Linked DNA regions of Lonchura striata. The protein of the gene in region 1 purifies or fractionates together with the protein of each later gene. This does not show direct contact. Links are inferred from orthologs where the notes say so. Each region holds a gene or a part of one and is shown on either strand. Other genes may lie near its edges.

The links.
Region 2: the proteins of GPC1 (region 1) and HADHB purify together in Homo sapiens (co-immunoprecipitation; 3 studies listed by BioGRID and IntAct, counting the BioPlex papers as one, with this or other methods). This does not show direct contact. The link is inferred for Lonchura striata from reciprocal best matches to the Homo sapiens genes GPC1 and HADHB.

The regions. Positions count from the first base shown.
Region 1 is NC_134612.1:2,666,772-2,677,061, forward strand, and holds the start of GPC1 (glypican-1), read left to right. Parts: upstream 1-5,540; 5' UTR 5,541-5,653; coding exon 5,654-5,810; intron 5,811-10,290. UniProt on the Homo sapiens protein: Cell surface proteoglycan that bears heparan sulfate. Binds, via the heparan sulfate side chains, alpha-4 (V) collagen and participates in Schwann cell myelination.
Region 2 is NC_134605.1:113,198,339-113,208,721, reverse strand, and holds the start of HADHB (trifunctional enzyme subunit beta, mitochondrial), read left to right. Parts: upstream 1-5,772; 5' UTR 5,773-5,853; intron 5,854-5,862; exon of another isoform or gene 5,863-5,929; intron 5,930-7,610; 5' UTR 7,611-7,769; coding exon 7,770-7,836; intron 7,837-8,194; coding exon 8,195-8,236; intron 8,237-9,650; coding exon 9,651-9,747; intron 9,748-10,383. Other genes in the region: HADHA (trifunctional enzyme subunit alpha, mitochondrial), read right to left, coding at 5,418-5,505. UniProt on the Homo sapiens protein: Mitochondrial trifunctional enzyme catalyzes the last three of the four reactions of the mitochondrial beta-oxidation pathway.

The DNA.
Region 1 (10,290 bases):
AAAGAGGACTCTGTTAGTTTCTTCCCAATATGAGAGGGGAATATAAAGCTAATTACAGCCTGATTGAGACTCTTTCAGTTTCCAAGTGAAACAAGAGCATCCTTTCCTTTATAAAGAAATTTGGAAGTGTTAATATGGGATATCAAAATGAGTTTTTCTTCTCAAAGAAGTCTGGGATGCTTATCCCTCACCCATTTGCCTTGGACCAGTGCTCAGGAACAGGCTGTAGAGCTGGCATTCCCAGGAACAGAGTGTGCTCCTGCTCAGTGCCACAGACAGATGACAATGACAATGAGGGACGGTTTTCACCTGAAAAATCTCTTTCAAACCAGTTAACTTCAGGACATAACCTCTTGAATTATAAGAGGAAATCATCTACTTGCAACTTTTGCAGGAAGTGGGAAGGAATCTTCTACACATCACCATAGGGGCATGCTGAAAGGACAGATTTTTCATCTAGTTTTGGGGACCATTTTGAGGCATTTCATACTATTAAAGCTGTGCTTATAACACATAAATCAGATTCAAGTGCATGTCGATACTCTTTATTCATTGCTGCATATGTTTTCGAGAGTGGGAAAAGCTTTACTGAAAGTTCCCAGAAAGGATAAATGTACTTCCTGGGGCAGACCCAATTAACAGGAGTTTCTCTAACGAGTTTATGGCATTTATTTCATTTTTGGCCTTTAAGACTTCTTTCTACTGGGAAATCTCTGACTCTTATATAACACAAGTACAGTCTGGCAGGGTGGAGTCATTGGTAAGAGGTCATTAAGCAATACATTGCTTTAAGTTGCTGCTGTAAAATTGTGTGGTTCACTTCAAAACACAGCACAGAGTTGCAATTACCTGCATTAGCCTGATTCTCTGTCTGAAATTACTCAGTTGTTCCTAATATTCCTAGTACGAGCCACACTGGGGAAATGAAAATTCCATTTGAAGGGAATTGGTCTGTTCCACCAAAGGTCAAAGAGCAGCTTGGCACAGCCTTGGCATACACTGCTGCACTTGTCCTCTGTGCAACCCCTCTTCCTCTGCTCCTCAGCATCCAGAATTGTGATTGTCACTGCCCTGGGGCCTCAGTCTGGCTCCCTCAGGACCTGGGAAGGTCTTGAGGCTCTGTACATCTACTGAACGCTATCCCTGATGAATTAATCCGAGCACACAAATCCCAAAAGGTCTTCGTATTTTGGGAAGGCAAATGGTGTCTTACAAAGTCAACTGAGATCAAGCTGGATTTGCCAGTTGTACATAGATGCCCCAGCAGTTTGAAGGGATTGATCTGATATTTTTGGTGATCAAAACAACCTGACACGTGCTGTTTGTGCATGTCAGGGAAGCTTCCTGGGGGAACGTGAGCAGAGGGGAGGAGAAGATGCCGGATTTCCAGTGAAGGGAGAGCCAGGGAAGAAGTAAGTAGCTGCAGATAGCAAGGTGTAATCTAGTAAATCCTCTGAATAACTTAATTAGATTTGATTCAGCAAAACACATGTCCAGCTTCTGCTGAACACCACTCAGTGTTGGGGAGGCAGGGGCTTTTATGAATTCTGCAGGAAACTGCTCTTGCAGAGATTAAAGGAATTGGGCAGAAGAGGTACTGAGATATTCCTGCTTTGATGAAGATTTTTAATTTAAAGGTGCCAGATTTGCTGATGCTGCCAGAGAATCAAAAGTATCATAAACTGGTAAGGGAAAGGGGCAAAGGGTTTCATTATGTGAAGCTGGGACGAGAGAGGAACCTGTAGCCCAGTCAGGCTTTGCCCATCTCTTTTCCTTCCCCACTCCCCACGCTGTGTGAACTTTGCACTTGATGCATAGGGAAAAAAGTAGAAACACCACTGAATTCAAGAGAGAATGCACTATTCTTTTATGTGGCACCAAAGATACAGGGCAATTTTGAATTCTGGGTTTTTTCCTGTTTAGGTTTTGCTGTCAGACTCCAGGTTGCTGTAACTCAGCAGAGGTCCATTTTGGAACCAGCTGGAAGTCTGGTGGGTGTAATTGCATTGCTGCCTGTACAATTCTTGACTTGCATCAAGGTGAAAAAGAGAGGCAAGTCCACTGCATTGCAAAAATTTTGGAAAGTGCTAGAGAAACAAAGATGTCTCTGTGAAAACTGAGGTTGTAGAAAGCCTCTCTGTTCACTTCTTGTTTTAAAGGGTAGCTTTCCCCACTTGTGCCAGACGATTTGGCTCTTCTTCATCCTTCTTGCTCCATAATGCTTGGATCAGCTTTTCAGTGGGCAGTGCTTTTTGTCGGGACTGTCAGGAGGTGATCTCCAGAGCAGGATGGATTTTCTGTCTTCCTTTGGCTATCTTGCTGGCTGGCTGTGTGCTTTTTGCCTCCTCTGCATTTTGTCTACTCATCTTTGTGTTTTACTCTGCCTTTTCGTATCTTTCCCAGTTCTAGGTCTTTCTGACTGTTTTTGGACAATCTTTTGTTTACTTTTTGCCAAGTTCCATTCTTTTAGCTGAGGATGTTCAGAAACTGGATCTGGTCCTCAGATATAGACAATCCAATTTATAATGGATGCCAAAAATACATTTTCATCATGACACTTTGAGGATGTTTATTTCAATTTACTTAAAATGTGCCTAGGTCAAATCCTGCATGTGTATACAAACTTCACAGCAAAAAGAGACGTGCCTCACCACTTAAGATTTCTTTGAGCAGGATTTGATCCTGCACAGACTTGCAGATTTCTGTTGAAGAGCTCATATCAGCTTGTGCTCATTTTAAATTTGTCTACTTATAAGCTTCTCATTATGATAGTATGTCAGCATCCCAAAGGCAGGTGGTTGGGTAAAAAACACTCTTAGCCCTGTTTGGAGTTAAATGACCTGCTGGTGGTCATTTAATGCCTGAGGTTCACAGCAGAGCTTGTAGCTGAGCTGTAGTTCTGAGAAGAGCTGGAGCTGGCAGTGTGAGCTGTGCTGGGCTGGCAGCCTGGTGTCTCAGCTGGGAACAGCAGCGAGCGTGCTGCACTCCCAGGATTTTATCAGCAGTGACGTGACCCCAGTCCCTGCTGCAGGCACTGCCACCCAGCCAGGGAAGTGAGATGTATGGCAAGAAGGGAAATACTCGGGCCTGTGAAAAATCTGTAGCTCAGGGGATGGCTCCAAGGCCAGAGCCCAAGGGCTGCAGTCCCAGCTCTTCCATTGCCAGCTGCTGTGTGAGTCCACAGAGCTTTGTGCTGCAACCTTGGGGTGCAGCCACAGCTCAGAGAGCTTACCCAAAGTCACTACAGGCAGAGCTGAAAGTATATGCCACACGTATTCAATGGCAACACGTAGCCGATCCCAGGATTTGAGAAGGAAAAGAGGAAATTCGGTGCTATTTTGGTCTCCTGTATCACCCACCCCAAGTCATTCTGTGCAGCCAGACCAGATAAAAGGTTTATGACTCTGCCTTTCTTCTCTATCAAGTACTTTGTGTCTTTGGAGTTCACATTCCTGGAGTTCGTTCGCCTCAGCAGACTCAAGTGACACTGTTGTTACCCGTGTGTCTGCAAGTATTTGATTTTCACTCAGGTTTTCCAAGAGGAGGAGGTGTTCCTCCAGTCATGGCAGTGTAGGTACAGATTCCTCTGCTGCTTGTTTTCTGCCGTTGTTGTACTCGGATTAGTTAGATGAGACTTCTGACATGGATCTTCAAGTGATATGTTCAAAGCCTGGGGAGAGGAAAGGGCTATGGCTATAAAATGAAAATAAATCCCCAGGAGTATGGGCTGAAATAACCTCATGACACATAACCTACTTGGTAACCTCTTAAGTGTGCAGTACTTTTGCATTTACAAAAGAGTTTTCATTTAAAAACAGGGTAAGTCAGGCTTCATCCATGGCAGATTTTTCCCCACACAGCAAGCTCCCAGCTGAGGCATATTTTGGGACTCTGTAAGCCTCGGGTTTCTAAACTAAGAGATGATACAAGAGGCCAAAAGGCACAATGTCATCTGCAAGAGAATTAAGATTTGGACTGTATGGGTGTATCTGACTCAAAGCTATTAACTTTTGGTGGTAATGATGTGTCATCTCAGTTATGATCTTCATTACAAAATTCTCCCTGTCTTTGCAGGGGTTTTCCCTGTCCTCTCCATCTGCTTTCATAGATGAATCTAGGAAGTTTTAAGAGGAAATAATTCGGTGATTTTATAGGAAAGCAGCAACTTTCCCCTACTGCCATCCTGCTACTCCCCATGGCTCCTGTTTTGCAGTCACTTCTCCCATTCCTCAGGATAATAAGCAGTTCTGAAGCAATGGGATGAACATCACCAGTTTCCCATGAAGTTTCTCACATCTGGGTGACTGCCTAGTCCAAAAGCTACGATCTCTCTTAAATGTTGCTGCGTTTTGGGGGGGCACAGTGATGGAGTTTGTGTGCAATTTCTGCAATCTTGTAAGGTTTAAGCCCACAAGTGCTCCAGCTGAGGCACGGGCAGACTCCCTCCCCCTTTTCACAGAGAACAACTGCTCTCCAAAGGCTCAGGAGCGACCGCTGGGTCTTCTGGCTGTCGCGAACAGAGTCAGACGCCGGCCAAAAGCCTGCAAGCTCATTTGGAGCAGCACACGGGCATTGCCTTGACGCACAGGTGATCGCATACGTCTCAGTTCTGTGGGAAGCAGCTCAAAACGCGGCTGGCAGAGCTGCAGAGCACCAGCTTCGGGAGCTGGCAGGCTGTTGGATGAAGTAAACTCCAAAGCTGAGAATTTGTCGTAGACATTTGCCTCTCTTCCCACATCTGCTCTTAAAGGGGCACTTTCAGCCTTCCCAGGACCTTGCTGGGACTCTCCGGCTCTCAGCTGAACTGCGTTCTCCTCGCCGCTCTAAGTGTGGAACGATTTAAGTCTTTACGCGGCCGTTGTCCCGCCCCGCTGGGGGAACCCCGGGCAAAGCACCGGGGCCCGCCGCAGACAAAGAAGGGCTCGCTGCGCGCTGTCCTTGCCCAAGGACGGCGGGCGGCCCCGGAGCGCCGTGCGCGCCCTGCCCGCCCGGGGATGCTCGGGGATGCCGGGGATGCCCGGGATGCTCGGGGATGCCGGGGATGCTCGGGGATGCTCGGGGCGCTCCGGCGGCTCCGGGCGCCGCGCAGCGCCCGCGGCGGGGGCGCGGGGCGGGGCGGGGGCTGCGCCCCGCGCGGGATTGGCGCGGGCCGCGTGATGCCACGTCCGGCGGGGGAAGCCCTGCCCGCCCGGAGCCGCCCCGCCGCCGCTCGGCGCGCAGGTGGAGCGGAGCCGGCACAGCCCAGCCCAGCCCGGCCCGGCCCCGCCGCGGGAGCAGCCCCGCAGCCCGCCCCGCGCCCCGCCCCGCCGCGCTCCGCCCGGCCCGGCGGCGCCGCAGCCGGCAGCATCGCGGCGGGACTGCCCGGGGATGCGGCCGCGCTAAGAACAAAAGCCCTCAGCGCGCTCTCGCTCCAGGGCTCTGAAGCGGCGCGGCCGAACTTGGATCTCTGCCCCCCTCGGCCGAGCCGCGGCGGCGTCCGGGGCCGAACTCGCCGTTGCCTTCCCCGCACGCCGCGGGCAGCCGGGCTCGCCCGCCGCCCTCGCCCGCCCGTCCCGCCGGGGCTGCCCGCGGAGGGGCCGCACCCGGCCGCCCCCGCGCCGCGGGACCTTGGCTTTGCCCTTCGCTCGGCAGGTGGCGGGGCCAGCGGAGAAGGATGCGTGTCTTCCCGTGGGGATTTTGGCTGCTGTGTGTCGCCTCCGCCCCGGCTCGCGGTGACAGCGGCAGCAAGGCGAGGAGCTGCGCCGAGGTCCGGCAGCTGTATGGAGCCAAGGGCTTCAGCCTCAGCGGCGTGCCCCAGGCCGAGATCTCCGGTGAGTGCCGCGGGGCGCCGGGGGCGCGGTGCCCGGGCCGGGGCCGCTGCCAGCCGGGAGATGCCCGGGCACGGCTGGGAGCCGCGGGCTGGGGAGCGCTCGCCGCCCCACGCTGGAGTTTGTCTCGGCTCGTGGGCGGCCAGAAGTCGGAGCGGGGAGGTTTCCCCGGAGCCGGGCTGCCCTGCCGCTCTCAGCGCCGCCGGCAGCCCTGCCCTGCCCGCAGAGGGGCTCTCCCCGGCGCTGGCGATGCGAACGGAGCTGCGAGGGGGGCTGGTCGCGCCAAGTGTTCAGCGGTGGTTCTTTCTTTTTTCTCATTGTCTCGTTGCTTCTGTGCTGAGTACAACTGAAACGGGTTTCAGGGTTTTGATTCGGAAATCGGAATAATCGGAGTGTAGTGGGTTTCGGTGTCAGAGGTGGAAAGCGCCACAAGGTTGTGAGAGAGGAATTGATCTATTTAAATCTTCTTCTGGATGGGAAGCAAACGTGTAAATGATATTGGCTACTTAATAAAAATGAAGCAGGAGTAAAATGACCGCGTCAAACGTGAAGTGCAGGGGAAACCTGTGTAACCTACGCTAGAGTGTGTCCTCTTGCTTTCATTCTGGCTTTAGATAAATCTTGGTTGATTTCCTCCTCTTTGTAGAAACAACTGAAATAGCAAGGAATATTCAAGGTCTGGTTTGTGTGGGTTTGGGTTTTTTTCTTTGAAGGCTTGGGGAAAATATGCTGAGGCATTGTAGGGTTTTCTAAAATTCTCATCAAAGTTTTGATACACCAACTTGTGACCCATATCCGAGAGCCTTCTCCTCACTTGTGGGAGCTTCCTCCTTCAGACAAAGCATAAAACATGCAGGCGTACGTGCCAGAGCCAACCCACAGGGACACCCCAGTAAAACTGCAGTTTGTACTGCACATCTAAGCTACACAATGCCTTATGCTGAATATTTCATCAGGTAATTTTTCAGAGAAACCAATTTGTTGTCTGACCAATGAAAGGAGAAGGCTGAACCATATACATCCCTCATAAATGCGAATAAATTAATGCCTTCTTTGTCAAGTTACAACTGAGAGTAAATTTCCAAAGTAAGACGAGCAGCCCTCAAAGTTAAACAGTGGGGAGTTTCAGAACCGTTTGAACATCACTATTAATGGCATAGCACTTCAGCTGAGCAAGAAAGCGGCTTTTTATGAGTTTGCATCTCATTATTGCAGATGTGAATACATTAGCTGTCGTGTTTCAAGTGGGAAGTTCTTGGAAGGCTGAATGTTTACAAACACGCTGGAGGTGGCTGCAGCACTGCGCACAGGGATAGTACTACGGGCAGCACCGAGGCTCGCAGCAGCTGCGGTTAAAAGGATCACGTATCGCAGGTCAGCTGCCAGTAAAACACCTTGTACCTGCAAATTGTTGAGGTTCCAGGAGTGTCAGGACACAGATTTCCAGGATGCAGGAGTTCTGTTTCCTGCTGTGCGTTGGTACGAGCATACACACTGGCAGTCACAAGCCACAGTGGTTAAAATTGGAGTATCAAACCGGAGTCTCTGGCTGTTACTGCAGACAGGGAAACTCTGTAGATAAATGCCATGAAAACTTGAGGAATACTGCATGGAAAGTAATGTGAAGAAGTGCTTGGAGGAAGAAGGTCCCACACATAGAGCCGCTGCTGCTACCATTAGCCCAGTGTTTCAGACAGCTGCCAGACTAGATGATTTTCATTGGTAATTACCTCCTGACCGATGCACATTCAGGAATGCATTTTTGTGTCAGTGTGTTACTTGCCCAGTGCAGTTAAAACATCAGTGAGCGTAGATATAACCTTAGAAACGTCCTGACAAAGCAGTGTTCTGTATCCTCTTTGCTTTTTAGCAGCTGTGCAGGTTAATGCAAAGGTTGGTGCCAGTTTTGCTTGTCTCCAAGAAGAGGCATCTCAAGAGCCTCCTTGCAGTATCCTTATGTGTACCAAGTACAGGACCATGCAGTTTATAATTCCACATTTGCTCGTTGTTTCAGGCTGGTTTCAGTGGCAGTGGTTCAGCTTGCTGTCACTTGAATGGAGCCTTCTCAGGTGACACCACTGACACCTGTGAATGCATCCCCAGGCATACAGCTGAGGAGGGGCAGGTGTCTTCTGCTGTGTCTCAAGTGAAGGGAGAGGAAAGGGTCTTAGGTTGCCAGGGCAAGTCAGATGAGATATTAGAAAGAAATGTTCACAGAAAGAGTAGCTGTGCATTAGGCTGAGCTGGTGGAATCACTCAGTGATGTGCATTAGGCTGAGCTGGTGTAATCACTCAGTGATGTGGATAAGGGGCTGTTATGGTGGTGCTGGGTTGATGACTGGATGAGATTATAGTGCAGGCTTCCAACTTTGGTGATTCTGTGGTTGGGCAGCTTTTGGATTAGTTAAGAGATGTTGATGAACTGAGATCAATGTTGTCTCCTATTGGACTATGCTGAAGTTTCCTGATGGTGGCCTTCTTCATGTTTTAAGAGCTGCCCCATGAATCATGTTTTTATTTTATTTCTGAGCTGCCTAGAGACAAAATCCCTTTCCATTGTCCCTCTCTAAGGAGACCTCGCTGTTCCTTCCCTCCACTGCTTGCCCTGAAGCAAAGGGGAACATTAATTTCTTAGCCCTATGACCCCAAAGTGGTGCTGACCTTGCTCCTGTCTGCCTGTGCCTGGCTCCAGGCACTGCTTGGGGTGTGTTGGTGTCACAGCAGCCCAGCCCCAGGAGCCAAACCCCACACTGCACCCCCAGAGCTGCCCTGCAGAAGGAGTTCAGTGAGCTCCCAGCACGCAGGCTCTGACTCAGACTGAGATTGGCTGTGTTTGTGTTGGGTTTAGAACACTCACTGCACGCTTTACACCTTCTAATCTGTATTCTTAGTTATGATTTAAGAGGATTATGAATAATCTAGTGTCTCCACAGCTCACCAGAAGGTAGTCCCTGCTTGTGGCTGCATGGATCAGCTGGAGAAGAGTCCCACAGTTATTAGCTGGCTAATAGATAAGCATCTGATGCAGGGATAGACTCTTGGCTTACCAGATTTCTCATGAACCACCTAGACAGGGTATCCTGGTTTTTTGCTAATGTTGTACAATGCCTTTAACATGTCTAAGCACTTTAAATGTGTCAGGTGCTGTTATTAAGTGTGTTTAGGGAGTACACAAGGTGTTATATCTCAGTACTTTGAAGTCAATGGCAAAATTCCCGAACACGATAGCAGTGTCTGCTCGTGTTAGCAATCCTGACAGACAGCTGTGCACCCAGAGTCTTGGGTGAAGATCTGCCTACCAGAAAGTTTCTAATGCTGGGGGTAAAGCCCCCTACTCCTTGAGTTTGGGAAAGTTACACCACTTGCTCCCATGGGATGTGCTACTAGCTCGATCGCAGCTTTCCTGCGTGTTGGGAGAGCGTTCCCACTCTCCTTTTTGATGACCCACACCCCCTTTCTCTGATTGCTACAAAATAAGGGAAACCTTATTGTAAGTTGGAGAGCTTCCAGTGTTTTCGTTTCCTCTCGAGTTTTCTGGAGGTGGCAGCTGTTCCTGCTGTCTCACATTCCTGCAGGATCCCACTGCGGGTCCCTGCTCTGGTGGTGAAGGGGAGGCATACCCTGCTCTAGGGTGCTTCTTAGTGCCCCTCTTAGGGACTGGTTACCTCAGGCTCACAGCATGGCTTGTGATAGAGTGAGCCCTCACCACCACGAAATACTGCCCTGTGAGGGGGGTATCCCGTTTTCTCTGACTTGTGGCAGTGTCTTGGGGTTACTGATGTTGGGTGGGTGACTGCTCCCCAGTATCTCGAGCACAGGTAGTTCCCTCATGGGCTGGAGAAGACCTAAGGGTTGTGATTTGATGTGAATGTGCTTGGCCCTTGTTCGCTGTTTGGTTTGAACTTCTGCTTTGGTTTGTTTATTCCTGAGACTAATCGTCTAGCCACTAGATGTGGCTTGTGTTAGGTTGATCTTGTTGACACGGGCAGTGGGTGCAGGGCAGCCAGAGAAGAGGAGGGTACAGAAAAAAGCCAGCTGGACTTTGCCAGGCTGCTCATCCAGTGACACGTCTCACACAGATCCTTCCCTGGCTCTGCAGCTGAAAGGAGTCAGAGCAACTGTTTTAACCTTTTAGTCCTTTTAGGCTATATAATTAGGTTTTATGATGAAAACATTGTCAAGTGTATGTGTTTGAGCCCTTTAGAGAAGTGTTATCTGAGTAGAGAACAGGTCTGGCAACCAGCTGGGACTTGATCAAGCTCTTGGAAGGGGGACTGGAACCCCATCTTGGAGGGTGTTTCAGCTGCTGGCACTTCCAAAGTGGGACAAGCATACATCTGTGGTGTGACACATAATCTGGGGCTCCTCCTTTCCCAAAGAAAGATCTGTACCCGTGACTAAAGGGGTGCTCCAGTGCTTTCTGGGGTGGTCACTCCATTTGGGCTGTATTTCCTCAGGGCAGAGGGATTTCTCAAGATCAACT
Region 2 (10,383 bases), on another chromosome or scaffold:
GAGCCCCCCCAGCTCTCCCTGGATCCTTCTCCTCTCCAGGTGAGCCCCCCCAGCTCTGCCTGGATCCTTCTCCTCTCCAGGTGAGCCCCCCCAGCTCTCCCTGGATCCTTCTCCTCTCCAGGTGAGCCCCCCCAGCTCTCCCTGGATCCTTCTCCTCTCCAGGTGAGCCCCCCCAGCTCTCCCAGCCTGGCTCCAGCCCTGCAGCAGCTCTGGGGGCTCCTCTGGGCTCTCTGCAGCAGCTCCAGGTCCTTGTGCTGCTGGAATCCCCAGGGCTGGGGCAGCTCTGCAGGTGGGGAGCTGTTCTTCCTTGTCCTGTGCCTCCAGGCCCTTGTGCCTCTCCAGCTCTTGGATCCAGCTCCACTAATGACACACAAAGCACACAAGCACCTCTTCTTCCAGAGCCCTCAGAAACCCCAGACCACCAGATGAACAAGTTCTGCCCACAGGTTTGACTCTCCTTTTCCTGCTCAGAAATTCTGTTTGGGCCCCCCGATCTCTCAGCACACAAATGAACCCCAGCTCCATTCAAGCTTGAGGATCCCCAAACTCAGATGCAGGCTGAATCCCTGCCAAAGCTGCTTTAAGCCTGAATCCCAGGAAAAGTGTTACCTCCACATGGATCTATCTACCAGCCAGCACACAGCCGATTAGGCAGGGGAGGGCTCTGCTCAGCACTGACAAAACCCTCAGGAATGAAACATTCCCATTCCCAGCAGCAAGCAGGGAGGATAACCCAAGGCCAGGAGAATAAACTGCCTCCCCAAGAGGTGTCTCCCCCCGCCACAGCCCCGTGACACGGGCTCAGGGCTGCACTTTGGCCTCCTTTCCACCTTGTCTGGGGTGCTGGCAGTCGGGACTGACCTTTGCTCCCATTCCTGAGCCCAGGATATGCAGTGTGATGCCGTGGGGATGGAAATTCAGAGTCAGGCTGTCCCAGCAAACAGCTCTGGGGTGTGTGTGTGTGTGTGTGTGTGTCATGTGCCCACAGCAGCATTTTATAAACAAAGAGTGAACCAGTTCCCACTCCAAAGCTCCTCAGCAATATTTAATACCCACATGTGATAGCTCCATCCAGCAATAATTTCCCTAAATACTTTGTTGTGTACTCCTGCAAACAAGCACAAACATTGAATTCCCACAAACCAGGTGGGGGCTGACAACAATTCCTCTGGTGGGAGATGCTGCCCAGCAGAACACCACCTTTACCAGCAGTATTTTAACCCAATAAAAGCCATGCAACCTCTTTAAAGAGAAAGCAAGGACTGAACTGTCTCCCTGAATTCATTCATTCAATCCTTGCAGCAAGCTGGGATAGGGGAAGGTGTCCCTGCCTGTGGCAGGGGTGTGGAACAAGATGAGCTTTAAGATCCCTCCCAGCCAAACCAGTTTGGGATTCCAGATTTTTTGTTCTTTACATGGCTTTCCTTTCCCACACCAGTTCTCAGATTCCTTCCATGAAAACCTTCAGCCTTCAATTCCTCTCTCCCTTTCCATTCTCACAAAACAGAAGAGATGAAGTAGGAAAAAAAAAAATCAAGGGCATGGCTGCACAAATATCACTCCACTTGAATATAAATTCTTTTGGGAGAGGCGCTGTCAGAAGTGCACCAGCTGGTTAACACTGGAGTGAGCTTTCTGTAGCCTGACAGTGGTTTATTTTAAGTCTAGAATATTTGTGGAAAACATCTTTTGCTAGGAAGCACAAGTCCTTGTCCTGGTCCTTGCACATCTGCTTTAGGTGTTGATCCCTTCAGCATTGCCATGGGAACGTGCCAAGACTGAAGCCAGAAAAATCCTCCAAAATGCTGCAGGAAGCAGAAGCCCATATTCCGACTTCCACTGTGTCCCATCACTGATTCCAGAGTTAATGCCCTGAAAATCAGTTCCAGGCTCACTCCAGCTCAAACACTGTCCAGCACCAGGACACCAACACTCCAGGTGCCCTCAGGACTTTGGATGCACCAGGGAATGGACAACACCCACCCCACAGCCCAGCCTGCTCCTTCCCACTTTCTCTTCTCCCTGTTCCTACCTCAGCTCCCACCCTTCCACTCACCGGCACGTGGCACACGCCTTGAACTGGGAACTGCCTCCATGGCTCAGGGAAAAGCCTTTTTCCAGTCCTGGAGCAGCCCAAGCCCCAGCAGCACGGAGCTCAGGCTGCCTGAGCTGTCCCTGCCAGCTGAGCACGGAGCTGTGACCCGTGAGAAGGGAAACTCCCGGCACACTGAGCTTCCCAAGCCACCCTGGGAACCTGGTGGCACACGGATGTGGCCCAGCAGGTACAGCCAGCCCTGGAGCTCACCTGGCTCCTGACTGCTCCCTGCCTTTGGGCTGCCCCTGAGAGCTTTGCATGCACTTCCCAAGCTTTGCAAGGCAGAACGAGGGTATTCATTCATTAGCAACGGTGGTAGTGTCCTCACAGCAGCTCCAGGGCTGTTTGTTGTGGAGAGCTTCACCAGTTGGAACAAGAATTCCAACCAGCAGCAGCCTGAGAACTCTCTGGAGTTGCCACAAGTCTCCTCCTCAGTGATTGCAGCTCCCTGTCACGTACAAACCTGCTCCAAGGCTGCACGTAACACAGCTGTGATCCCAGAACCAGGAATTGCTCACCAGGATCCCTGAACCGTGGGATTGCTCACCATGATCCTGGAAACATGGGATTGCTCATCATGATCCCAGAACTGTGGGATTGTTCACCATAATCCCAGAACCAGGAATTGCTCACCATGATCCCTGAACCGTGGGATTGCTCACCATGATCCCAGAAACATGGGATTGTTCATCATGATCCCAGAACTGTGGGATTGCTCACCATGATTCCAGAAACGTGGGATTGTTCATCATGATCCCAGAACCATGGGATTGTTCACCATGATCCCAGAACCAGGAATTGCTCATCATGATCCCAGAGCCATGGAATTGCTCACCATGATCCCAGAACCAGGAATTGCTCACCACGATCCCAGAACCAGGAATTGTTCACCATGATCCCAGAACCAGGAATTGTTCATTATGATCCCAGAAACATGGGATTGTTCACCACGATCCCAGAACCATGGGATTGTTCACCATGATCCCAGAACCAGGAATTGCTCACCATGATCCCAGAACCAGGAATTGCTCACCATGATCCCAGAACCAGGAATTGCTCACCATGATCTGCTGTGCCACATGCCGCGCCACAACAATGATTCCAGAACCAGGAATTGCTCACCATAATCCCTGAACCAGGAATTGCTCACCATGATCCCAGAACCAGGAATTGTTCATTATGATCCCAGAAACATGGAATTGTCCACCATGATCCCAGAACCATGGAATTGCTCACCCTGATCCCAGAACCATGGGATTGTTCACCATGATCCCAGAAACAGGAATTGCTCACCATGATCCCAGAACCAGGAATTGTTCATCATGATCCCAGAACCATGGAATTGTTCACCAGGATCCCAGAATCATGGGATTGTTCACCATGATCCCAGAACCAGGAATTGCTCACCATGATCCCAGAACCAGGATTGCTCACCATGATCCCAGAACCAGGAATTGCTCACCCTGATCCCAGAACCAGGAATTGTTCACCATGATCCCAGAACCAGGAATTGCTCACCATGATCCCAGAACCATGGGATTGCTCACCATGATCCCAGAACCAGGCATTGCTCACCATAATCCCTGAACCAGGAATTGCTCACCATGATCCCAGAACCATGGACTTGTTGGATAAGAGCTCTCAGAGCACCGAGTCCAGCTCTGAACCCCGCACTGCTGAGCTCAGGTTTGGGTTTAAACGAAATAGAGCTGGAGTTTGGGTCAACATCAACACCAGACTCTGAGGCCCTTCAAAGTGCTCAAATGTGAGGTTTCCAGAGCTTCCCAGCCAGGCCCTCTGGCCTTCCCAGGGCTCCTGGGGACTCCCTGCCTCGGTGGCCAGGAGGCACCAAGCCAGATCCGTGCAGAGGCAGGAGAGAGCCACAGCCCTGCCCAAGCTGGCAAGGGAGATGCCCCCACAAAATCATGGAATCACTGAATCCCAGGATGGTTTAGATGGGAAGGAATGTTAAAGCTCATCCAGTGCCACCCCTGCCATGGCTGGGACCCCTTCCACTATTCCAGGTGGCTCCAAACCCCAGTGTCCAACCTGGCCTTGGGCACTGCCAGGGATTATCCAGGGGCAGCCCCAGCTGCTCTGGGAATTCCATCCCGGCCCCTCCCTACCCTCACAGGGAACAATTCCTAATTCCCAATCTCCCATCCAGCCCTGCCCTCTGGACACAGCCATTCCCTGGGTCCTGTCCCTCCATTCCTTGTCCCAAATCCCTCTGCAGCTCTCCTGGAGCCCTCCAGGCTCTGAGCTCTCCCCAGAGGATGATTCTTTTCCCAAGGCTGAACATCCCCAATTCTCTCAGCTGAGAAATCATGGAGCACCTGGAGACAGCCTCCCCCCAGGCAAGTGGGACTACGGGGTCACAGGGATGACAGGGATCCCATGGATACACCTGCCTGCCTGGAGGGCAGCCACAGCACCCAGGCTGCCAAGGACATGGGGACACCCTCTCCTTTCCAAGCAGCCACTCGGGGCACTGGGGACAGGCACACGTGTCAGGGCACAAGGACACTCTCTCCCCGTGGCTCAGCTCATGTGCAGGGATCTGACTGGAGGGTGTGTCCCCCCATCAGTGCCAGCTCACTGGGACCCCCCAAGAACTGCTCAGAGATTCCCACAGCGTGTCCCTGTGCAAGGACTGGCACAGCAGGATGTCCCCATGGGGGCACACAACCCCCAGAGACCACAGGACACGGAGGGGACAAACCTCGGGGTGGGGGATGTTTGGGACCTGCCAGGGATCCCCTTGGGTGACTCTGGGGACAAACCCCTCACACGGGGCACAGACACACATGGGGACACCTCCCACCCCACAGCTGCCCCGGGGATCCCCTGTCCCAGTCCCGGCCCTCACAGCCTTCCTGCGAACTCCTCACAGCCATCACCTCAAGAACCCTTTGTGACCCCCAGACACCCCCAACTCCTGCCCCAGCACCATGAAATCCTCTCTGGGACCCCTTGTTCCTCATCCCCTCAATGTCACCCCGGCCCTCGCCCACTTAGCGCGGCTCTCAGTGCCCCCCTGCCCCTCGCCCCCTCAGCGCCACCCCTGCAGCGCCTCCTCACCGTCCCCCCAAAACTTTCTCCTCAGTGAGCCCCATCCCACGCCAATCCTCGCTCCTTTAGCGTCCCCCGAGCCTTCACTGCCCCTTCACTGCCCCCCTGCCCGCCAGCGCTCCCCTTCCCTCAATACCCCCTCAGGCACCTCCCGTCCCTCACCCCCCACTGCCCCCATCCCCCGGTGCTCCCCTCAGGCGGGGGCCCCCGCAGTGCGGCCGCTCCCGCTCCCCGCCGTGCCCTGGCTCACCGCGGGGCGGGGTGTGCCGCGTCGGGCCGGCCCTGGCGGCGGCCGGGAGGCGGCCGAGGCTGCCGATGGCTCGCACCGCCGCCGCCATCTTCGCCGAGGTCGAATGAGGGAGGAGAGGCCGCCGGTGGGGGGGGGGGCCTGACGGCGCACGCCCCGCCCGCCGCGCCCCGCCCGCGCTGCCCGCCGCGCTGCCCGCGCGCTTCGCCGCCGCCGCCGCCCCGCCGCCGCCTCCCGCTCCGCTCTCCGCCGAGCCTCGGGTGGGTGCGACCCGCGCCGGGCCGCAGCGGATTGCGGGAGAGGCCGGGGACGGGCTGCGGGGCGGCGGTAGAGGGAGAGGTGCGGGTCAGGCGGACGCGGGCAGCCCGAGGGTGGCGGGGCGCGGGGTCCTCGCTGGGTGGAGGAGCGGCGGCGGCGGCAGAGCGCGGTGAGGGCGGAGGTGAGCGGACGGAAAGGGACGGGAGCGCACGGGGCGGTCAGGGGCTCCGTCCTGCGTGGACGGCAGCGCGGGGAGGGTGGGAGCAGTCGGGAGGCGGTCCTGAGGAGGAGGGTGGGGGTCAGGCGCGGTGCGGGCTGGAGCAGAGGGTCGGGGGTCTGTCCTCAGCGGGCGGGGAGGGATGAAGGGAGGCCGGGGGTGGGGGCAGATGGAGGGGGGACGTGAGGGGAGTCGGGGGGTTCGTTCTCGATGGAAGTGAGGGGAGGCGGGGGGTTCGTTCTGGGTGGACGTGAGGGGACTCGGGGTTTCCTTTTGGATGGACGAGGAGCAGTGAGGCGAGTCTGGATCATTCTGAATGGACGGGGAGCAGTGAGGGGAGTTGAGGGGTTCGTTCTGGATGTGAGAGGAGTCTGGGTGTTCATTCCAGTTGGAAGTGAGGGAAGTTGGGGGGTTCGTTCTGATGGATGGGGAGACGTGACAGGAGTTGGAGGTTCTTTCTGGATGGAAGTTTGGGGAGTCGGGCAGTTCGTTCCGAATGGGAGTGAGGGGAGTTTTGGTGGGTTCATTCCTGATGGATGGGGTAGGGGGGCTGGGAAAGGGTGAGGAGGTCCCAGGGGGTCAGTGCTGGATGGATGAAAGGACTGAGGGGCTGGTCCTGGGCGGACAGCAGGGGTCGTGAGTTGGCCCTGGGTGGATGAGGGGGTTTGGGGGTGGCTGAGAGCAGCACGGGTGTGTTTGGGGTGGGAGTCCCGGGGTGGAGGTGGCGGTGCTGCGGTGTGAAAGTGTCAGGGGTGTGTGGGGACAGGAAGGGAGCAGGGGCTGTTCATGGAATTGTGGATTATCCTGAGTTGGAAGGGATCCGTGAGGGTCACAGAGCTGTGGAATCCAGGCAAATCCTGGCTCTGCAAGGAGCTTTGTCTTGACGATTTGTGTGGGCAGGGCTGAGCCCTTGGGGTGCCAGGGGAGCACTGGCTCCCAAAAATGAGGGAGTTTGGGGTGTTTTGAAGGGGCAGGAACGGGGGTGCACCGGGAGGAGATGGCTGTGCAGTGTGGGAGGGAGGAGGAGGTTACACCTGGGAGAAACTTCTGTCAGCTGGGCAGGGAAAATTTAGGGGAAAACTTCAGTCAGGTGTGGGGAGGGAGGTTGGCAGAGGTGGAGGAGGAGCAGGATGCTTTGGAAAGGTCTGGTTTTGGGATTTTTGTTGGCAGGAGGAGCCTGGGGCTGGGAAGGGTCACATTCCAGGTGTGGAGCTGCAGCTGGGAGGTGTCAAAGGGGGTGACTGGCAGCTTGTGCTGAGTTATGGGGAACTGCAGAGGGCTGGGTTTGGGACTGTGGGTGTTCCTGTGCCCCTCCATGGCAAAACTCTGTGCTTGGGAGAGAAAGTGCCAGGATTTGAACCCACAAAGTGTGACAGAGGGAGATGAATGTTGACATGGATCAAGCAAAGTCCTGGAGCTGTGAGGGCCATCTCGGCAATAAACTGCAGATGAGGGTTTGTTTATAGGGAAACCCGATTTGGGAGAGCTTCAGAGGGGTTTTTGGGGGCGAACTTGCTGTGTTTGCTGTGGGGATGCACAGCAGGATCCTCAGGCTGGCACCAGGGGCCAACGAGGGGCAGGGGTGCCAAGGACACTGCTGGTGTCAGGAGGTGCTGCTGGCAGCAGGGCTGCCTGGGCACTGGGACAATTTTCCAGTGGGAAGTGGAGGAGCAGTTCCTGGGAGGGAATTGAGAAGCTCACAGGGCGGTGTTTATTCACAGGCACAAGCGTGGTGGGAGGTGATTCCCTGTGCTGCTGCTGCCCTTGCAGTGTGTGCCCCTCACCTTGCTGGCTCTGTGTGAGGCAGGCAGGACGCTTCCCTTGGGATTGTTCTGGACACAGCAGCTTGGACTGAGCCCAGCCTTTCCCTAGATCCCAAAATGAGTTCCATGCTGAGCTCTGCCCTGCGGAACCTCCCCGTGTCCTCAGCCTGGGCTGCTGGGGCCTGTGAGTATCTTTAGATTTTATTGGTGGCCGTAAACCTCTGGTTGAAGTGTTGGGTTTGGAATGGATGCTGGGGTCTGAATCTATACCCGTTCTCACCTTTAAAAGACTGACATTTTTTACTTTTTAATCCTAATTACATTGTTGCCTTGTTTGTCCCTTCCTGCATCATATGGGGAGGAGTCTTGAGTTAACAGTTAACAGAAAGTGTACCAGGTTTCTGCACAGAGTAAACCACCCAACACCCCACAGGTGCTCAGGTGTCTTAGAGTGACACTATCTGCTTTCCTAACCCTTCTTGCAGAGACTAGAACTGTTTCTGACATTTTTCTGGTATTTTTTCCCCTTTCTTGTTTTCCAGTTACTCGATCACTCAGCTGCTCCTCGCCGTTCCAAGCTGCAGGTAAGGAGGAAACACCAGAATCTCAGTGGGTCTGTGCTAGACAGGGGTGTTTTGGAAGCTGCCTCCACTTCCCACAGTCTTGTTCCACTTAAATCTTAGAAATGGTGCAGAATGCAGGGTGGTTCGGGTGTTCCTGAAAAGCTGCAAGCAAGGAAAACTTCAGGCAAAGCAGTATTTGCAGCAGAGTCCTCTCATTTGCTGAGTGCCCTGGCGCCCAGTGCCATTCCCAGTTTGCTCCCAGTGGCCATTCCCAGTCTGCCCCCAGCTCCCAGTGCCATTCCCAGTCTGCCCCCAGCTCCCAGTGCCATTCCTAGTCTGCTCCCATGCCCATTCCTAGTCTGCCCCCAGCTCCCAGTGCCATTCCCAGTCTGCTCCCAGTGCCATTCCTAGTCTGCTCCCAGTGCCCATTCCCAGTCTGCCCCCAGCTCCCAGTGCCATTCCTAGTCTGCTTCCATGCCCATTCCTAGTCTGCCCCCAGCTCCCAGTGCCATTCCTAGTCTGCTCCCATGCCCATTCCTAGTCTGCCCCCAGCTCCCAGTGCCATTCCTAGTCTGCTCCCAGTGCCATTCCTAGTCTGCTCCCATGCCCATTCCCAGTCTGCCCCCAGCTCCCAGTGCCATTCCCAGTGTGCTCCCAGGGCCATTCCCAGTCTGCCCCCAGCTCCCAGGGCCATTCCCAGTCTGCCCCCAGCTCCCAGGGCCATTCCCAGTCTGCCCCCAGCTCCCAGTGCTATTCCCAGGCTGCTCCCAGTGCCCATTCTCAGTCTGCCCCTGGCTCCCAGTGCCCGTTCCCAGTTTGCCCCAGCTCCCAGCACCATTCCCAGTTTTTAGTCTCAGCCCACAGTGAGTGGCTGGGGTGATCCACGCTCTGGGTTCACTGTGGGGGTTGCTCAGGTGATTCATGCTTTGGGATTTTGGGAACAGGCCTGGACAGCAGCTCCCCATCATCGCCAGGCTTTGGGAAGAGCCTGAAGGAATCTCCAGACAGTGCTGGAGTTTTGTCCTGGCACTGGCCTGTGGAATGATGCCAGGTCATGACATCCCTTGTTTTGAACCTCTCCCACTGGGGAGAGAATTTCTTCCCATTAGGAAGAAATTTCTTCCCATTAGGAAGAAATTCTTGGCTGTGAGGATGATGAGGCACAGGCCCCATCCCTGGAAGTGTTCCAGGCTCAGTTGGATGGAGCTTGGAGCAACCTGGGATAGCAGGAGGTGTCCCTGTCCATGGCAGGGGTGCAATGGATGAGCTTTGAGGTCCCTTCCTACCCAAACCATTCCATGATTCCAGGATTCCTACCTTCCCTGCCTTTCACTTACACACCAAAAAAGGACAATTTCCTTTGTTTTCTAGAAGCTTTGCAGGATCTATATGAAAATTGCTGATATTCTTGTCACCATCACTTCTCTCTTCCCAGTTCAGCCAAAGACTAAGAAGACCTTGGGCAAAACTGGGGTGAAGAATGTGGTGGTGGTGGAGGGTGTCCGCATTCCCTTTCTGCAGTCTGGCACCACGTGAGTATCAGAGACCAGTGAAACCCAGCAAGCACGCCCTGGTTTGGTTAAAACTCAACTCTTTCTGTGAAAAACCTCACTTGTTCCTTTGAATGTAGTTATTCTTGGGCCTAGAGGCTCAGGAGGGGCCCTGAGTTGGGCTGCTGCAGTTATTCCAGTGTATTTAGTGCAGGAATGTGGTTTGAAGAAGGTTGTCAGTGTGTGTATGAATCCCAGGAAGGGTAAGGATTTATGGAGCATGTCTAGAGGAAGCAGTTGGAGAATTTATAGCAGAGGAAGCAACAAGTTTGACAGAACTGGCAGGACAGGGGCCAAGAATCTGCTGTAGGCTCTTCTTCCTGGATTGCTGTGCCACCAAATCCACAGCTGAACTAAAGCCACACCTGACTGTTATGGAGACAGGATGGAGAAAGGATTTTCTTATGTGCTCCCTGCTGCTTTTCTGTGGGTTTATAGCAGTGATTACAGCCCCTCTGCTCTAGAGGCAGGCTGGGAGAGCTGGGGGGGCTCACCTGGAGAGGAGAAGGATCCAGGGAGAGCTGGGGGGGCTCACCTGGAGAGGAGAAGGATCCAGGGAGAGCTGGGGGGGCTCACCTGGAGAGGAGAAGGATCCAGGGAGAGCTCAGAGCCCCTGGC